2 linked regions of the Oryctolagus cuniculus genome follow. The protein of the gene in region 1 purifies or fractionates together with the protein of each later gene. This does not show direct contact. Links are inferred from orthologs where the notes say so. Each region holds a gene or a part of one and is shown in the gene's direction. Other genes may lie near its edges.

Region 1 (8,646 bases):
CTTTCCCCTGGCAGGACGAGGCGGGAGGAGCTGGCGTGCTTGCCCGGGGCTGGGGAGAACCCGACCCCGGCCAACCTAAACCCCTGCCCCTGTCTCCCCTTTGCAGAGTATGGGCTCACAGGAGGACGATTCAGGAAACAAACCATCCAGTTACTCTTGAAGCTCACATCCGCCTGGGCCACAGGGGAGGCCGTGGCCGTGGCCGTGGCCAGTACGAGGAGGACAGCAGGGAGCACCAGGCCTGTTCCCCCGGACACTCAGTTTTGTTGACATCTTCAGCCCCATGTGCTTTCAAGACAGGCGTTCTCTCTGCAAAGAAAGGAAGAGAATGCCCAGTCTCTCGTGGATTTATTTATCCTCAGATTATTGTTATTGCATTAAATCTGCCTTTTTGTTTTAGCTGCTTGAACACGGATGTGTCTTCTGTAGCACTCTCTCCCCTGTGTAGTTTCAAACAAGCATTCATTGTGAACAGGAACGGTTGCATCTTGGGAATATTTGAATTGAAAAGTTGTTACTGACGTCCTTTACGACGTGCGCTCTGTAACGGGAGTGGCGGCTGACCAGAGGCCCTGGAGCCTTCCGTGGGTCGCGTGCCTGCCAACGGGAGGACGGAACTCCCTGCCCTGCGGCCTGGCCTATTTCTGAGACCAGCGGCAGGCCCTCCCCGGCTCCGCCAGCGTCTGCGGCTGCGTGTGGATCCTGGGATCCGGGCCTGGGCTTCCGTGCTGTAGCCCAGGACGTGGTGGAGGCTGGGTAGCGGGCGGTCAGATTGGCCGGTCCTTCCCCAGAGGCTGTGTCCCGTGGTGCGAAAAACAAAATCGTTCTCGCTGTTTGTAAGCAAAGAAGCCGACACCTGCGGAGGACTGGGGGCGGCTGGGAAAGCCCCGGGCAGCTGTGGCCGGGTCCAGAGGGCGGGGTTGCACCCAGAGCCGGTGCGCGAGCCTCCCCTCCCCTCCCCTCTGAACTCTCAGAGCATCCGGCTCCCGAATCCCCGCTGCTCGCGTCCCTGGCACCTGCGCCCCCACGGGCCTGCGCCACGTCCCCTCCCGCCGAGACTCACGCCATTCCTTCCTCGTGGGGGAGGCCACCTCGCACTCAGTGTGCAGGATCGCTCCAGAGAGGCTTCCCGCAGCGAGGGCTGGGCCTCTGAATTCTCTCGCGCCGAGGCAAGAACTGGGATAAACCCAGCCAGGGACCCCCGGCCCCGACGACACAAGCGGCTTAAGTAGAGAGCCCTGCCTGTGGTCCAGCGTTTCTAGCGCTCGCCGGGGAGCCCCTCCTGTGCCAAGTTGGGTTCCGGTTCTCTCCCGTTAACTTGCTCTTCAGAGATGAGCGAGCGGGCTGGTTGGTTCTGAGTGTCAGGATACAGGATACCATGTGGCAGAGGATGTTAACTTGCCTGAGCCGTTGGCAAAGTGCCCAGAGGAAATGTGACCGGGTAATTCTGGCTTTGGGAACAGCTGTCTTTTTTTAGGCAGATGGATGACTCAGTGATGGTAAACAGACAAAATCCCACGGCCGGCGTGGCGCACTGCAGCACTGGCAACCCATATGGGCGCCGGTTCTAGTCCTGGCTGCTCCACTTCCGACCCAGCTCTCTGCTATGGCCTGGGAAAACAGTGGAAGATGGCCCAAGTCCTTGGGCCCCTGCACCCGTGTGGGAGACCCGGAGGAAGCTCCTGGCTCCTGGCTTTGGCCCAGCCAAGTCCTCAGCTGGTGATCATTGGCAGCCATTCTGGGGAGTGAACCAGGAGATGGAAGATCTCTGTCCTCTGTCCTTCTCTCTGTAATTCTGCCTTTTAAATAAATAAACCATAAAAAGAAATCCTTCTGCGACCTCTCTTAAAACTGAAACTTTTTTTTTTTTAAGGTTTATTTATTTGAAAGAGTTACACAGAGAAGGAGAGGCAGAGAGAGAGAGAGAAAGTCTATCTGCTGGTTCATTCCCCAATTGGCCGTAACAGCTACAGCTGCTCCAATTTGAAGCCAGGAGCCAGAAGCTTCTTCCGGGTCTCCCACCCGGGTACAGGGGCCCAAGCACTTGGGCCATCTTCTGCTTTCCCAGGCCACAGCAGAGAGCTGGATCAGAAGTGGAGCGACCAGGACTTGAACTGGTGCCCATATGGGATGCCAGCACTGCAGGTGATGGCTTTACCTGCTATGGCGCAGCACCGGCCCCAGCTGTTAAGTTCTTACAGATTCATGTAATTTGAGTAAGCATCTCTAAAGGGTAGGCAGCCATTGGGATACCGGCATCTGGCTCCTGACACAGCTGCTCCGCTTCCGAACCAGCTCCCTGCTAACGTGCCCGGGGAAGAAAAGCGGCAGAACTTGGCCCCAAATGCCTGGATCCCTGCCACCCATGGGGGAGACCTGGATGGAGTTCCAGGCTCCTGACTTCAGCCAGGCCCAGCCACGGCTCTCTGGGGAGTGAACCTGTAGATTCTCTCACTCTACCTTTGCCTTTCAAATACATGAACTAGATCGTGTGTGTGTTGGGGGGAAGATGGCAGCTAAAGCCTGGGGAGTTGGGAAAGATACTAATGGCCCAAATCAGGCTACTGTGACTGAATGGCTTCCCCTCATTGGAGCCTCATCAGCCGATGGCATGGAAATAGTGGAATCTGGACCGGGACTGAGAAAGGGAATTCCTGGAATTAAAGTTCCAAGATGGGGAAAAAATTGTCTTTAAGCTTAAAACGTCACCAATGAGTGTTCGTTTCAGTAACACCTTTTGGTAAGAGAAAAACCAGGAAAAAACATTCCCAGAGTTTGAGAGACCAAAAACCTGATGGAAACAAGACTGTGCAATTAGTGAATGTAGAGTAATTAAAAAGATTTGAGATTTATTCAAGTATCAAAGGCAGCGTTAGAACGAGGACAGACGGAATCTTCCCTCCGCTGGTTCACGACCCAAATAGCTTAGCGGCAACAGTTGGGGCTGGGTCAGGCACGAGCCAGGAGCTTCCTCCAGGGCTCCCACCTGGGCGCAGGGGCCCGGGCACCTGGGCCACCTGCTGCCGCCTTCCCGGGCATATTAGGGAGCCAGATCAGAAGTGGAGCAGCCGGTACCCCTATGGGACAGCCGCACTGCAGGCGGTGGCTTTACCCGCTAGACCCTAAAGAATGGAATTTTTAACCCTGAACTGTCACCTTTATTCCTTGGAACAGCAGAGAGAGACAGGGAGAGCTTCCATCCGCAGGTTCGCCATCTGGATGGTCGCAGCAGCTGGGGCTGGGCCAGGAGCCGCGCACCCTGCGTGGGTCTCCCACGTTGAGCAGGGACCCTCCCCGAGCGGAACCCGGGCAGCGCCCTAACCACGGCTCCAAACGCCCGCCCCTCCAGGGTCTCCTGCACTCTCCAAGCATCCAGCGAGCTCCTGCGTGGCTGACAGCCGAGGAAAAGCGGAATTCCTGGCACGGCTGCGCTTCGGCGGGCCCCGCTCTACCCTCGATTCGGCTCGCTAAGCGCAGCGGCGGGGCTGACCGGGATCAGGGGAACGTGGGTGGCGGCCGCCCCCGACCCCGGGACCTCCGCCCGGGCTCCGTCACCCCCTCAAGCCCGGAGGAGCACCGGAGGCGCCACGAGTTTTACAGACTACATTATGGAATAACTGATATTCGGTCAAAACAAACAATTTCCAAGTGTGGCTCCAACGGTTCCGCGCAGGGAACCGAGTCCCGCGCATGCGCACCGGCGCCCAGCCGCCCAAGCCGAGCACCGCCCCTGTTGCCTGACGGCCGCCGCACCTTCCACCCTCTTCGCGAGGATGGGGTTTATCAGCTATTTAGTGAAAACCGGCGGTGAAACTAAAAGGAGTTACAGCAGGTTTTTACGTTCTCGTCTTTATTTTTCTGTCTTTTGTGGGCAGAAAGTCTAGGATTGGCTCTATTTCCCCCTCAAATCTTTTTGTTTGGTTGGTTTTTACATTTTAAGCACCCCCACACGTTTGAAATGGTTTTGTCCAGCAGCGCTTGCGGGTACGGTTTAAACCATTCTGTACTTCTCTGAGAGGGGGAGCGGCGCAGCGGCGTGGAAGAGGAAGGTGTCGGGTTGGGAAATTCCCGCTGCCACTAGACTTCGGAGTTACGGGGGCGCGGGCCTTCGTTCCCAGACCCAAGGACCTGGTGGGGCCTCGCTCGCCTCGCGGTGCGGGGTGCGCTCGGGCAATCCGGGCGCCCCCGCGGCGGGCATGGGCGGATGGTACGGTCCGACCCAGTCACGCGCCTCTGGCTTGGCGCCGGGGCAGCCTGGACTGAGGGGACCGCGGGTGAGTGTGGCCGCCCGGGTCTGGGCGTCTCCCCCTCGGGGTCGGGCCCGCCGTGCAATGCGGCCGCGACCACCTGTCCCTTAGGGCCGGCTCCGGCCTCACCTTGACCTGTCCGGCGGGGACGGCGAGGGCCCGGCCGAGTGTGGGGCGGGCAGCGGTGGGCGAGTGGCTTGGGGCGTTGCGGAGAGCTGGCGATGTGGAGGGAGCGTGAGGCCACATCCTAGCTCCTCGCGGGAGGAGGAGGAGCCGGGGCCGTTGTTTGGTTCCGATTTGACGTTGCCCTGCCTCTCTCCCGGTGCCCGCTGCTCCAGCGCCGGCCCGGGTTTGCCCTGGAAGACCGCAGTTCTTCCTAGGGTTGGTGGACGTGGCCGAGAATGCTTGGTCCAGCGAGGTCAGCAGGGGGTGAGAAGCAGCGTGCCGTGGACACCCGGCGCCACCCCGGTGTCCAGCCAGGCTGGTGGGGGGGACCTTTGTCACTGCAGAGAAAGGCGGCAGCCGGTGGCACTGGCTTATCACTGTTGTCATCGCGTCCTTGAGTAACCCTGGCACGTGACCTTGTGTCTGCTGTCCGCGACAACCTAGGTGAGGGCAGCAGCAGTGGTGCCCGCGGGTTCCAGCCGGAAGGAAGCCCCGAGGGAGACCGGTTAGGGGCTGCTGCATGCTCACTGCGGGTCACCTGGCCCCTGCTGGATCTGCGGGGGCTCCTTCAACCCCCTGTGGGCCTCTGGGATCCTAGGGAGCTGGGGGGGGGGGGCGGTGGCAGGGGGGGAGAGTGTGGTGTGGCGGTCCCGGCCAGGCTGAGGAGTCGGGACACCTGCTTGTAGGGTGTAGAGCTCACTGGGCAGGGGAGGCTGGAGTGGAGCTAGAGGAAGGCAGTGGAAGAGAGCTTTATTTGAAAGTCGGAGTTACACAGAGAAGGAGAGAGAGACAGAGAGAGGTCTCCGCTGGTCATCCGCTGGTTCACTCCCCAAATGGCTGAAATGGCTGGAGCTGGGCTGATCCGAAGCCAGGAGCTTTTCTGGGTCTTCCACGTGGGTGCAGGGGCCCAAGCGCTTGGTTCATCTTCCACTGCTTTCCCAGGCCAGAGCAGAGAGCTGGATCGGAAGTGGAGCAGCCGGGACTCAAACCGGTGCTCTTTGAATTGGGTCTGGATTTTTTTTTTTTCCTGGGCCTGGAATACGTTGGGTGACAACGTCTCTGGTGCCCGCTCCGGCCTAGGCAGGCTGGAGCAGGTGTGCGTGGGGTGGGGCAGAGGGCTGCCTTGGTCTGGGTGTGTGGCTGGAAGGAGCCTTTTTTTTTTTTTCCTCCAAGGAAGGCGTGGCCCCCTTTCCAGGCTCTGGGGCAGGGCATCTGTGTCTGCTTTTGTTTTCCATCCTATTAGCCCTGCCTTGACCTCCTGGTTCCAGTTCTGGTTCTGGTCCCGGTCTGGTCCATGGTCACCTCCCATGTCTCCTCGTCCGCTGTGGGTCTCAAAGCCCTTGACGAATGTTCTTGACCTCACTGTCATGGAGCCCCTGGGTTCTTTCTTTAAACTCAGTCCATCGGCTCCTGTGCCACTGGACTGTCCCTGCGGTGGGCACCTCCATCTACTTCCTGTGCTGACGGCTGTCACCTCCCCGTGGGCAGCCCCTAAACCTGTTTATTTATCCGTCACGTGCTCTTTGGGTGCCCTGTGTGTCGGGAACCGCTGTAGACACCAGGGGACAACGTCTCTACCTGCTGGAAATTTTATTTTTATTTTTTAAGATTTGAAAGGCAGAGATATGGGGGGGAGAGAGAGAGAGATCAATCAATCTTCCATCCAATGGTTCGCTCCCCAAATGGCTGCAACAGCTGGGGCTGGGCCAGGCTGAAGCCAGGGGCCAGGAGCTTCTTCTGGGTCTCCCACGTGGGTGCAGGAGCCCAAGCACTTGGACCATTCCCAGGAGCGTTAGCAGGGAGCTGCATTGGAAGTGGAGCAGCCTGGACTCGAAGTGGCACCGATACGGGATGCTGGCACTGCCGGCAGACGCTTAACCTCTGTGCCACAGCGCCGGCCCCAGGAAATCTGGTCTTTGTAAAGGGGAAGTACACACAACCTGTTAGGAGACAGAAATGAGGCAGGGCGGGGGCAGGGCAGCTGTCCCGGGTGGGCTGGCTGGGGAGGCCTCGGACCGGGTACAGGGCAGGGGCAGGGCCGCGGGTGCCTGGGACCTTCTCCCCAGCCCTGCCCTCTCATCTGCAGTCGGTGTGGCCACGGCCTGCTCCAGGCGTCCCGGCTGAGCCTCGGGCCGTCTGCACTTGCGTCACCTGCCTCTGGGAACACCTCGGGCCAGGGGCCGGAGCCTCCGCTCTCCACGCTCACTCCCGCCCGCTTCTCTTCCGTTTTGCCTCTGCCATTGCCAGCCCCTGCTGCGTCCGGGTCCGCGGACGGCCAGGTGGGTTGCCATTGGTGGGCAGGCACGGGTGTGGGCTCTGTTTCTCTGACCTTGACCTCTGCTAGGGCACCAGTGACCTCCCTGTTACTTTGCAGGGGATCCCTGCCCACTGTTTTTTTTTTTTTTTTTCTGTCCAAATTGTGCTAAAATGCACATAAAGTGGACTATTGTCAGCACGCAGCTGTGTGTTGCTGAGTGATGGAACCGCCAGCACAGGCTGGCTCCAGTGCTGTCCACATGCCGGGCTTAAACATGAACTGCCCAACCCCCTGGCACCATTGCCCCTTCCGTCCCTGTGGATCCCACCACTCGGAGCCCGAGCCCCACCCCCACCCCCAACTTGGATGTGTGAATTTCAAAGTTCTTTTTGCACCAAAGGAAACTTTATCCTTCCCTTCCAGAGGTAAAGTCCCCCGTACAGTCTCGTGTCAATTGGGCATTGCTTGTCCTTTTGTGACGGGCTCCTGTCACCGGGCTTGCCATGCTGTGAGCCAGCCTGCACGGCCTCTTCCGCTGTCGTCCAGGTCTCCTGTGTCATGTTGGAGCCTCACTCTCCGAGGCCCCAGGGGTCTGCATCCTGGGGCTTCAAGACCCCTCCTCTGGGGGCCTCTGCCAGCCCCACTGGCCCCTCGGAGCACTGGACTGGGCAGGTTCCCGTGCCCCTCCCCGGGGAGGGCTGCTTCCTCGTCCAGACTGGGAGGCGCTCAGCAGGTGCGTGCTGGGCAGGGGTCCACTTGAAGTCCACTTTATGGACCTCTCAGTCGCCCTGGAGTTTGCGGGTCCCTGCAAGGGTAGCTGTCCTTCTCCTGTGCTGTCTGCCCCGGGGCCCTGTCTCAGTTCTGCCCGGAGGGCCTTTGGTGCGGCCATTCACCCCCACGCCCCCTCTCGTGGCTGCCTCTGGGCCCGATGGGATCTGGCTTCCGTTGTCTGTGCTGCCCCTGACGTGGCGCTGGGTGCAAAGCGGGTGCTGCCCCAGTGGTGAAGCGGGAAGTCCTAGAGGCGCCGGGGAGGTTCCGTGGGGTGCCTTCTGCTCACGGTGTCCCCTGCTCCCCAGGGCACCATGAACGCCATTGTCGCCCTGTGTCACTTCTGCGAGCTGCACGGCCCCCGCACACTCTTCTGCACGGAGGTGCTGCACGCCCCGCTTCCCCAGGGCGCCGGGAGCGGGGACAGCCCCGGCCAGGGCGAGCAGGCCGAGGAGGAGGAAGGCGGCATCCAGATGAGCGGCCGCGGCCGCGCCCACAGCCCCGCGGAGGGGGCCGGCGCCGAGCCGGGCAGCGCGGGGCCCAGGAAGTCGGACATGTGTGAGGCAAGTGCGCTCCGTTCAGGGTCTCGGGGAGGCGCGGTCCCCCAGCAGGCCTCCTCTCAAGTGGCACCCCGAAGGCATGTGCGTCTCTGTGCCCCCAAGTGCTGCCGTAGCTTTCCTAGCCGGCTCTGTGCTGAGTGTCGGCACCCACACGGCCCAGCCACAGCCCTGCGTCCCCTGGCGCACGTGCTCACCATGCCCCGGCTGTGAGCCTGGGGGAGTGGGCCTCAGCACCCCGGCAGATCAAGGCTCTGCTGGAGGCCCTGAGGTGGGCGCTGGGCGCTGGACGTGGGCATTGGACCTGGCCCTGCTTTAGGAACAGGCTGAGTTCTGTTGGTTTTTCTGAGAGGCAGGCGCTGTATCAGAGCCTCATCTATTGCTGCTAATGCCCATGAGGGGTCCTGGGGAGAGGGGAGCCCTCAGACACTGGCAGTGGGGGCCCTAGGGGGCTCAGCCAGCTTCCGGAGAGGCCTGGAGCCAGGGTTGGGGTTCACCTTGGAGGAGGCCTGCACCTCTTGGGCAGGGCCTTGCCTCGGGGCCCTGCTGTGCACGGCCCTGGGGGCCTGGATGCCTCAGGCTGCTGGTGGCCTCCGCGGGCTGCACGGTCCACTCCTGCAGCAGGCAGTGTGGCAGGCTGTTCCCAAGCCTC
Region 2 (8,863 bases), on another chromosome or scaffold:
ACACATTTTTTATTTTAATATTTATTTATTTGAAAGGCAGAGTTAGAGAGAGGGGAAGGGGGGAGAGAAAGAGAGAGGGAGAGAGAGAGGTATTCCATTCACTGGTTCACTCGGCAAAAGGCTGCAATGTCCGGAGCTGGGCCAGTCTGAAGTTAGGAGCCAGGAACTTCTTCTGGGTCTCCTACATGCATGCAGGGGCCCAAGCACGTGGGCCATCCTCCGCTGCTTTCCCAGGCACATTAGCAGGGAACTGGATTGAAGTAGAGCAGCAGGGACTCGAACTGGTGTCCATGTGGGATGATGGCTCTGCAGGCTGCAGCTTTACCCACTACACTACAGTGCCGGCCCAGAACAAATACTAATTAAGAGACAAGAACTGTCACCAGAAGTCAGAATGGACTGGCATAAATAAGTTAGCCCTCTTCTAACTCCTCTTTTCCCTCCTTAGGGAAACAACTCAGAATATTGTTTAATTCCTCTTCTCTGGGCAGCTGCACACAGGAGCAGCCGGCTGGTATATGTTCTAAGACGGAGTGATGAGGTGAACGAATTAAAGCAGTGCTGGAGACAGGGACCTTGACCAGTGGATGACAGGCAGAAGACTGGGCTCCTGTAGATGCCTGGAATAGCCAAGAAAAGAAACCGTAAGACTTGGGGGAAGTGTTCGGAGCAGCTTCCCAGAATTCTGTTGGCTAGGATTTCTGTGCACTTGAAAAATCCAAAGCAGGATGTATGGCCAAAACCAGGCTGAGGACGAAAACGATGCTGAGAGGGAGCACAGGAAGAAAGAGGAGAGAGGGGAACCACTGTGGTTCCTTGTTTCTCCCCCGGCTTATGCAGTAATCTAATAGTTTTAAAGGCACAGTCTCTCTTTAGAGTTGCTCAGTCTAGACCAACACTGAAGATGATGGCTGGGCTCTTTTGTACAAAATTATCTGAGAGGCAGAGAGAGATGGGGGGAGAAGGGAGTGAGAGAGAGAGAGTCCCCAAGTTCCTGCAATAGCCTGACTGGTCCAGGCCAAAGCTGGGTTCGGAACCCAATCCAGGCCTCTCCTGTGGGTCGCAGGGACCCAACTACTTCAGCTGTCACCTGCTGCCTTGCAGTCTGCATCAGTAGGACGCTGGCATTGGCAGCCAGGCCTTGAACCTAGATCTTGTGATATGACGTTATAGTCACGTGTCCAAACAGCCACACCGAACTAGAATTTTTCGAATTCCCTCTTTTGGGTGATCTCGTACACTTGAACTGGGCTCGGCATGAAAGTCTTTGTAGGTGAGGAAGAAGAGACACCATGTTGATTCCTTTCAATAAGTAGTTAGAAAATCTGCTAGGCTCATAGACTGAATAAGGGACATTTTCTGACCAAGGATGGGGTAGGAAAGGTGATGTGTTGCCAGCCATCACAGACCTGGAGCCATGTCTTAATGAGCCACAACAGGTGAGGCCAATACCTAATATATAAGCTACTTAGGAATATTGGTAGCCCTATGCAATAAAGATTCTCAGGAATAGGCCGGCGCCGCGGCTCACTAGGCTAATCCTCCGCCTAGCGGTGCCGGCACACCGGGTTCTAGTCCCGGTCGGGGCACCAGATTCTGTCCCTGTTGCCCCTCTTCCAGGCCAGCTCTCTGCTGTGGCCCGGGAAGGCAGTGGAGGATGGCCCAGGTGCTTGGGCCCTGCACCCCATGGGAGACCAGGAAAAGCACCTGGCTCCTGGCTCCCGCCATCGGATCAGCGCGGTGCGCTGGCTGCAGCGTGCCGGCCGCGGCGGCCTTTGGAGGGTGAACCAACGGCAAAGGAAGACCTTTCTCTCTGTCTCTCTCTCTCACTGTCCACTCTGCCTGTCAAAAAAAAAAAAAAAAAAAAAAAAAAAAAATTCTCAGGAAACAGAGAAAGCAGAGTTGCAAATCAAGATCTGTGTCCTCTAAACTGTGCAAAGGGGTAACTGCTCACCAGCATGAACACCTAACCCACCAATCTAACAGTAAAAAACTAGAAGAAAAAAATGCCTGCATTTCAGTTTCTGCTGTCTTTCCCCAACCTTTGTGAAGTTTCATTGCTTACAGCTTGATCTCCAACCAAGACCTGAAAACCACACAATAACAAATGACAGGGGCAGGTGTGCGGTGAGGACGCCCGCACCCCTCATCAGAGTGCCCGGCTCTGAGTCCTGGCTCTGCTCCGCGGTGCAGCTTCATGCTAACCAAACCCCGAGAGGCACCAAGTCCCTGCCCCTGTGGGCCAGATCCCCATCCAGCTCCAGCTCCTGCCTTCCGCCCGGCCCAGCCCCTGCAGGTATTTGGGGCAGTGAACGGTGGATGGGAGACCTTTGTCCGTCCCTCCACTTCTCAAATAAAATACATAAATCACTTAGACAACTTAAAAAATGATAAGGGAAATTAAGTCCAAAGTAGGTATTCCTGAGAACTTTGTGGAGACACACTGGCCTTCCGGAGTGCCGGAGAGTTATTTCGAAGAAACCTAGGCGCACAGGTGAGTCACCCTTCACCGCCCAGAGAGGAGCGGCCGGCTGACGTCTTACCAGCACAGCTGTTACCCACTAAGCCCAGCGCCATAAAACACAGATTAAGACTTCAGTCCTACAGCGCATTTTAGAGTCTCCTCACACGAAGGCTTAACCCACGTACAAAAACTCCACCTTCCCCAAGCCAAGTAATACCTGCTGTGGATAAAGGTAAAACATCCGTGTGCGTGGTCACGGAATAGGGTTAGGAAAGCGCCCTCTGGTCACAGGCCGGTTGTAAGTTTCTAAGTGTGTATGTAGTGAGTGCTAGCTTTTATTTTTTTTTTTAAGGGCTCAACCTTTCACACGCAACTTTTTCTGTAAACGTGGTTATACAAGAATATGGTGGCCCAAGATGCCAAACAGAACTAAGAATTTAAACAAAACAAAACAAACCAAACCAACAGTTTAAAAAAAAAAAAAAAAAAAAGCCTGAAGAAACCCAACCTGGCTATGCAAGAAACGTGCCAACGACTCGGGCGCTGCGCGCTTCCCCTCACAGCCCTGGGAAAACGCACCCCCGCGCGAGACGCCCTCCCCGCCTGCCCACGCCTGCCCACGCCTGGCACTAACGAGCTTCTGCGCCCGCACAAAGCCAGGATCAAGTTCGGGGGCTTTGCTTTGTCTCGCACGAACAAAGATCGGCCGGCGGCTTTCTCGCAGGAGCCGAGGCGCGCCCCGCGCCCCGCGCCCCGCGCCCCGCGCCCCGCGCCCCGCGCCCCGCGCCCCGCGCCCCGCGCCCCGCGCCCCGCGCCCCGCGCCCCGCGCCCCGCGCCCACCGGGCCCTTTAAGCGCCGCGCCCGCGCCCGCCCCGCCGCCCGCGCGCCCCAGCCGGCTGCGCCTCCCGCCGGGTTACGTGCGCCCGGGGGCGGGCGCGGGCGCGGGCCAATGGCCGCCGCCGGGGCAGCGCGCTCCTCCCGCGCCGCCGTGTGGCTGCGGGCTCCTCCCGCAGGAGATAACTGTCAGCGCGCGAGGCGGCGGCGGCGGCGGCGGCGGCGGGGGCCGGCTCCGTCACAGGACCGGCGCGCAGCAGAGTTCCTCAGCCCGGCGCCCCGCGCTCCCGCCAGGCTCGCCGCCCCCGCGATGACCCCGCCGCCGCCGCCGCCGCCGCCCCGGGCTGCGCGCTGAGCCGCCGCCGCCCGCCGAGCGCGGGGCCGGAGCCGCCGCCGCATCATGGCCCCGACCCTGCTCCAGAAGCTCTTCAACAAAAGGGGCAGCGGCGGCAGCGGCTCCGCGGCGGCGTGCGCCCAGGGCCGGGCGCCCAAGGAAGGACCCGCCTTCAGGTGAGGGGCGCGGGCCCGGCGCGGGCTTCGGGGCTGGCGGGGGGCCGCCGTGGACGCGCGTGGCCCCGGGGCGGCCCCCTCCGCCTCTGCACAACTCCGGGTGCCCCGGGTTTCGGGGAGTTCCCGTGGGCTCCTTGCGTGCCGGGGCGTGCGCTGCGCTTGGCCGCGCGTGGGCCGAGGCGCCCGGGCCCTGCGGCGCGGCGAGCTGTCATCGCCGAGGGCGGCCGCGGCCCATTGTGTGCGTGTTGGGAAGTTGTGCCGGAGCAGCCGCGGCGAAGGGAGGCCCCCGGCCCCCTCCGGTCCCTGCTGGCGCTGCCTGACGGATGAATGGAAGTGTGCGGTTTCCGCGTCGTTCCGAGGGCGCGCGCCGCGCCATGTGTGCGAGGGGCCGTCTGGGGTCTCGGGAGAGCGGAGTCGATCCGGCGTTCCCGGCGCGCACCTGTGGCTAAGAACAGCCGGCACGCGTGCAGCCTGGGCCGCTGGGAGTGCGTGGCGTCGGGGTCTCTCCCTGGAGTTCCATTTCGCAGGTGAGAAAGCGGAGGCGCCGAGAACCGCAGCTGTCCGCGGACCAGGACCCAGTCTGCCCCCAGGACCCGGTCTGCCCCCCAGGACCCGGTCTGCCCCCCAGGACGCGGTGTGCCCCCCAGGACGCGGTGTGCCCCCCAGGACCCGGTCTGTCCCCGGGACCCGGTCTGCCCCCCGGGACCCAGTCTGCCCCCAGGACCCGGTCTGTCCCCCGGGACCCAGTCTGCCCCCCAGGACCCAGTCTGCCCCCAGGACCCAGTCTGCCCCCCAGGACCCAGTCTGCCCCCAGGACCCGGTCTGCCCCCAGGACCCGGTCTGTCCCCCGGGACCCAGTCTGCCCCCAGGACCCAGTCTGCCCCCCAGGACCCAGTCTGCCCCCAGGACCCGGTCTGCCCCCCAGGACCCGGTCTGCCCCCCAGGACCCGGTCTGTCCCCAGGACCCAGTCTGCCCCCCGGGACCCAGTCTGCCCCCAGGACCCAGTCTGCCCCCAGGACCCGGTCTGCCCCCAGGATCCAGTCTTGAGTATCCCCGGTCTGCCCCCAGGACCCGGTCTGCCCCCCAGGACCCAGTCTGCCCCCCAGGACCCAGTCTGCCCCCAGGACCCGGTCTGCCCCCAGGACCCGGTCTGCCCCCCAGGACCCGGTCTGCCCCCCAGGACCCGGTCTGCCCCCCAGGACCCGGTCTGTCCCCAGGACCCAGTCTGCCCCCCGGGACCCAGTCTGCCCCCCGGGACCCAGTCTGCCCCCCAGGACCCAGTCTGCCCCCCAGGACCCGGTCTGCCCCCCAGGACCCGGTCTGCCCCCCAGGACCCGGTCTGTCCCCAGGACCCAGTCTGCCCCCCGGGACCCAGTCTGCCCCCCGGGACCCAGTCTGCCCCCAGGACCCAGTCTGCCCCCCAGGACCCAGTCTGCCCCCAGGACCCGGTCTGCCCCCCAGGACCCGGTCTGCCCCCCAGGACCCGGTCTGTCCCCGGGACCCAGTCTGCCCCCCGGGACCCAGTCTGCCCCCCAGGACCCAGTCTGCCCCCCAGGACCCGGTGTGCCCCCCAGGACCCGGTGTGCCCCCCAGGACCCGGTCTGCCCCCAGGACCCGGTCTGCCCCCAGGACCCAGTCTTGAGTATCCCCGGTCTGCCCCCAGGACCCAGTCTGCCCCCAGGACCCGGTCTGTCCCCAGGACCCAGTCTGCCCCCCAGGACCCGGTCTGCCCCCAGGACCCGGTCTGTCCCCCGGGACCCAGTCTTCCCCCCAGGACCCAGTCTGCCCCCCAGGACCCAGTCTGCCCCCAGGACCCGGTCTGCCCCCCAGGACCCAGTCTTGAGTATCCCCGGTCTGCCCCCAGGACCCAGTCTTGAGTATCCCCGGTCTGCCCCCCGGGACCCAGTCTGCCCCCCGGGACCCAGTCTGCCCCCCAGGACCCGGTCTGCCCCCAGGACCCAGTCTGCCCCCAGGACCCGGTCTGCCCCCCGGGACCCAGTCTTCCCCCCAGGACCCAGTCTTGAGTATCCCCGGTCTGCCCCCAGGACCCAGTCTGCCCCCGGGACCCAGTCTGCCCCCCGGGACCCAGTCTGCCCCCCGGGACCCGGTCTGCCCCCCAGGACCCGGTCTGCCCCCCAGGACCCAGTCTTGAGTATCCCCGGTCTGCCCCCAGGACCCAGTCTGCCCCCCAGGACCCAGTCTGCCCCCAGGACCCAGTCTTGAGTATCCCGGGGCTGCCCTGCTTTGAAGGGCCAAGTTCTGGAAGGCGCCTTGCAAGGTGCAGTTCTTCAGCGCTCTCACACGCTCTTTGGCCAAAACGCCCCGCAGAAGCGGGTTATTGTTACTCCTGTGTAATACACCTCTAAAAAGTTTCAAGCGCAACTTGGAAACACATTTTGCAGCAAGTTCTGTGTTGTCTGTTCTGCTTGTTCTCGAATTCCACTGGTGGAAAACAGCCCCCTCTCTCATTCTGTAAGAAAGGACGGGCGTGGGTGTGTGTCTGGGGTGTGGGGTTTGAAAAGTAGGCCGTGAGGACTTCCACCTACCACGGCTGCATTCTCACGTTTCCTCTGGGCTAACCCAGTGCTTCCCGTGTGAGGGGAACTCTACGCCTCTGCTGGCTGAGCCTTCTCAGTGGTAGAATTACTTGAGACCCAGGGCGGGTCATGTCTTCCCTGCCTTGACGCAGCCCTGAGAGCCGGGGTGCAGCACCTGGAGGAAGCGGCATGGGTGTCACGGTGTCCTCACTCCGCAGCCCTTGCTGGGAGAGACGCTGGAGTTGTACTGTCACTGTTTCCTGTGTCCCCTGCCTGGCTGCCCACCACCATTTCCTCATCCGCAAGCTTAATTGGGTGTATTTGGATGAAAAAAAAAAAATAAATAAAAAAGGAGGGGGGGGCTATATTTAGGGCCTGGCCATATTTGGGAACTTGATTCCCACTTTGTGGGAACATGTTCTGTGTAGTGTTCTGACCTCTCATTGGTGTAGAATGGAGAACAGAAAATTGTGCCAAGTGCTGTTTTTGTTTTTTTTTCTTTCTTGACCTCATTAGGATTTTCGGCAAGTTTTTGAATAGGTTTTTTTTCTTTTCTTCTTTTTTTTTTTTTTTTTAAAGATAATCTGGGAGTCTTAGCGGGGTGTCCCATTTGGGGAGAACCCCCTTCCGTAGTGTCCCAAAGGCATCACCATGGAAACAGGGGTGAAGTGGGAGATGTTAGCAAAGATGCAGGAGGCTGGGGACAAGTCAACCAGTGCTTACCAGGCCAACACAGAGCACCAAACTAGTGTTTCCTCTGCCTTTCTTTCACCTGGCCTCGCTCTTGCATACTCTGCAGCCCTCCTGGGAAAAGTCCTGGAAACTTGATCATGCTTCACCTAAAAATATCACAACCTGGTATTTCATTTTATCCAGGTTTCGCCAAATTAGAGCTGTTACGTGCCTTTTGGGGGGAAGGGGTGTCTCATACAGGAAGCTTGCTTTGCAGGGAAGTCGATTTCTAGAAGTTTTAAGGTAAAACCCAGATAGCCCCAATGTGAATTTATATTCGTTAGTATATTTAAATACAGGATGTGACTTGTAGATTTGGAAAACGAAGGATCCCGTGAGCATTCAGGTAGATGTTTTTGGCAGTTATTTAGCATATACCAGGAAAAACCTCAAAAAGTAAGATTAACTTTTAAGAAAAATTTCAGTATTTGAAAGGCAGAATGACAGGAAGAGAGAATATATCTTCCGTCTGCTGGTTTACTCTCCAGATGCCCTCATCATCGAGAACTCCATCTGGGACTTCCACATGGGTGGTAGGAACCCCAGCCCCTGGCCAGCACCTGCTGCCTGCCAGGGGCATTAGCAGAAAGCTGGATGAGAAGAGAAGTAGCCAGGACCAACAAGGGTCCTCTGACGTGGCGTTCAGCTGTCTCAAGTGCTGGGTTGACCCCTGTGCCACAACAGCTGGCCCAAGATCTGACTTGTTAGATTTTAGGGATTGCCGAATCCTTTGATATTTGTGTTTCCATGATGGGCTTTCATTTGTTGTTTTAAACTTTTCTCTTCTCAGAATTGTCTTGCCCTTGACATTATTCGTGTATACTTCCTAGTCTCTTCTCCAGGTTCTCGCTGTTCCCACACCCCCCTAGTCTTCCCCACTGAATTAGAGAGGAAATACATCGTCCAGTGTAAGTAGCTCCTGTCTTCATGCTGCACATCTTTCTATCGAGAAAGAGGCTCATCACAGTTAGATTCCTTCTTCGGTGTTTCACTAGGTTCTCCCTTTTCATACCTGTGAGGGAAGAGGTGGCTAGGAAGACGGAGAAGGAATCAAGAGAGATGAAATTTGCATATTAAGATAATCGAAAATGAATCTTGATGTGAATGGAAGGGGAGAGGGAGTGGGAAAGGGGAGGGTTGTGGGTGGGAGGGACGGTATGGGGGGGAAGCCATTGTAATCCATAAGTCGTACTTTGGAAAATTATATTCATTAAATAAAAGTTTAAAAAAAAAAAAAGATGAAATTTGCATGCTGGAGAGAAGTGGTCAGGAACACTCTGATTATAGTATTTGTGAGGTTTAAACCCTACTTAAAATCATAAGATTGCATTGTGGGCGTTGAAATTTGAGTGCGGTCCCTGTTTGCTGATCTTCAGAATGCTTTTCACTTTTAATTAATTGATGCATAAGTTTATATTGGAATAACCTTTTGTTCCAGAAGGATGAATTAAGGCAAAAGAATGATTTGTTCAGTGACTCAAGTCGGAAGTGGAATTGGGGTGTTGGTTACCTTGGATTTAAGGCTAGCGCATTTCCATAGGACTTTTTAAAAGAAGGGTATGCCCATGGACTTAGATGTCTGGTTTAAGTTTGAAATATTGCTTTTTTTTTTCTTTCATATTCCTGGTAAATCAGTGGGTCCCTTTCTACCTACAACATGTATGCAGCAGGAGGCTGAGCTGAGAAAGGCCATGGGCTATCGCATGTATCTCATTTTGGGCCAGTGAAATGGAGTAAATGCATGTATCGCCTGGGGTGTGAGGAGCGGATGTAAGTGCAGCTGCC

What was found.
Region 2: the proteins of FLCN (region 1) and FNIP2 purify together in Homo sapiens (affinity purification with western blotting; 5 studies listed by BioGRID and IntAct, with this or other methods). This does not show direct contact. The link is inferred for Oryctolagus cuniculus from reciprocal best matches to the Homo sapiens genes FLCN and FNIP2.

The regions. Positions count from the first base shown.
Region 1 is NC_091448.1:66,242,368-66,251,013, reverse strand, and holds the start of FLCN (folliculin), read left to right. Parts: upstream 1-4,138; 5' UTR 4,139-4,274; exon of another isoform or gene 4,275-4,856; intron 4,857-6,498; 5' UTR 6,499-6,691; intron 6,692-7,745; 5' UTR 7,746-7,751; coding exon 7,752-8,000; intron 8,001-8,646. Other genes in the region: COPS3 (COP9 signalosome complex subunit 3), read left to right, coding at 107-160. UniProt on the Homo sapiens protein: Multi-functional protein, involved in both the cellular response to amino acid availability and in the regulation of glycolysis.
Region 2 is NC_091439.1:138,588,813-138,597,675, reverse strand, and holds the start of FNIP2 (folliculin-interacting protein 2), read left to right. Parts: upstream 1-3,483; 5' UTR 3,484-3,698; coding exon 3,699-3,808; intron 3,809-8,863.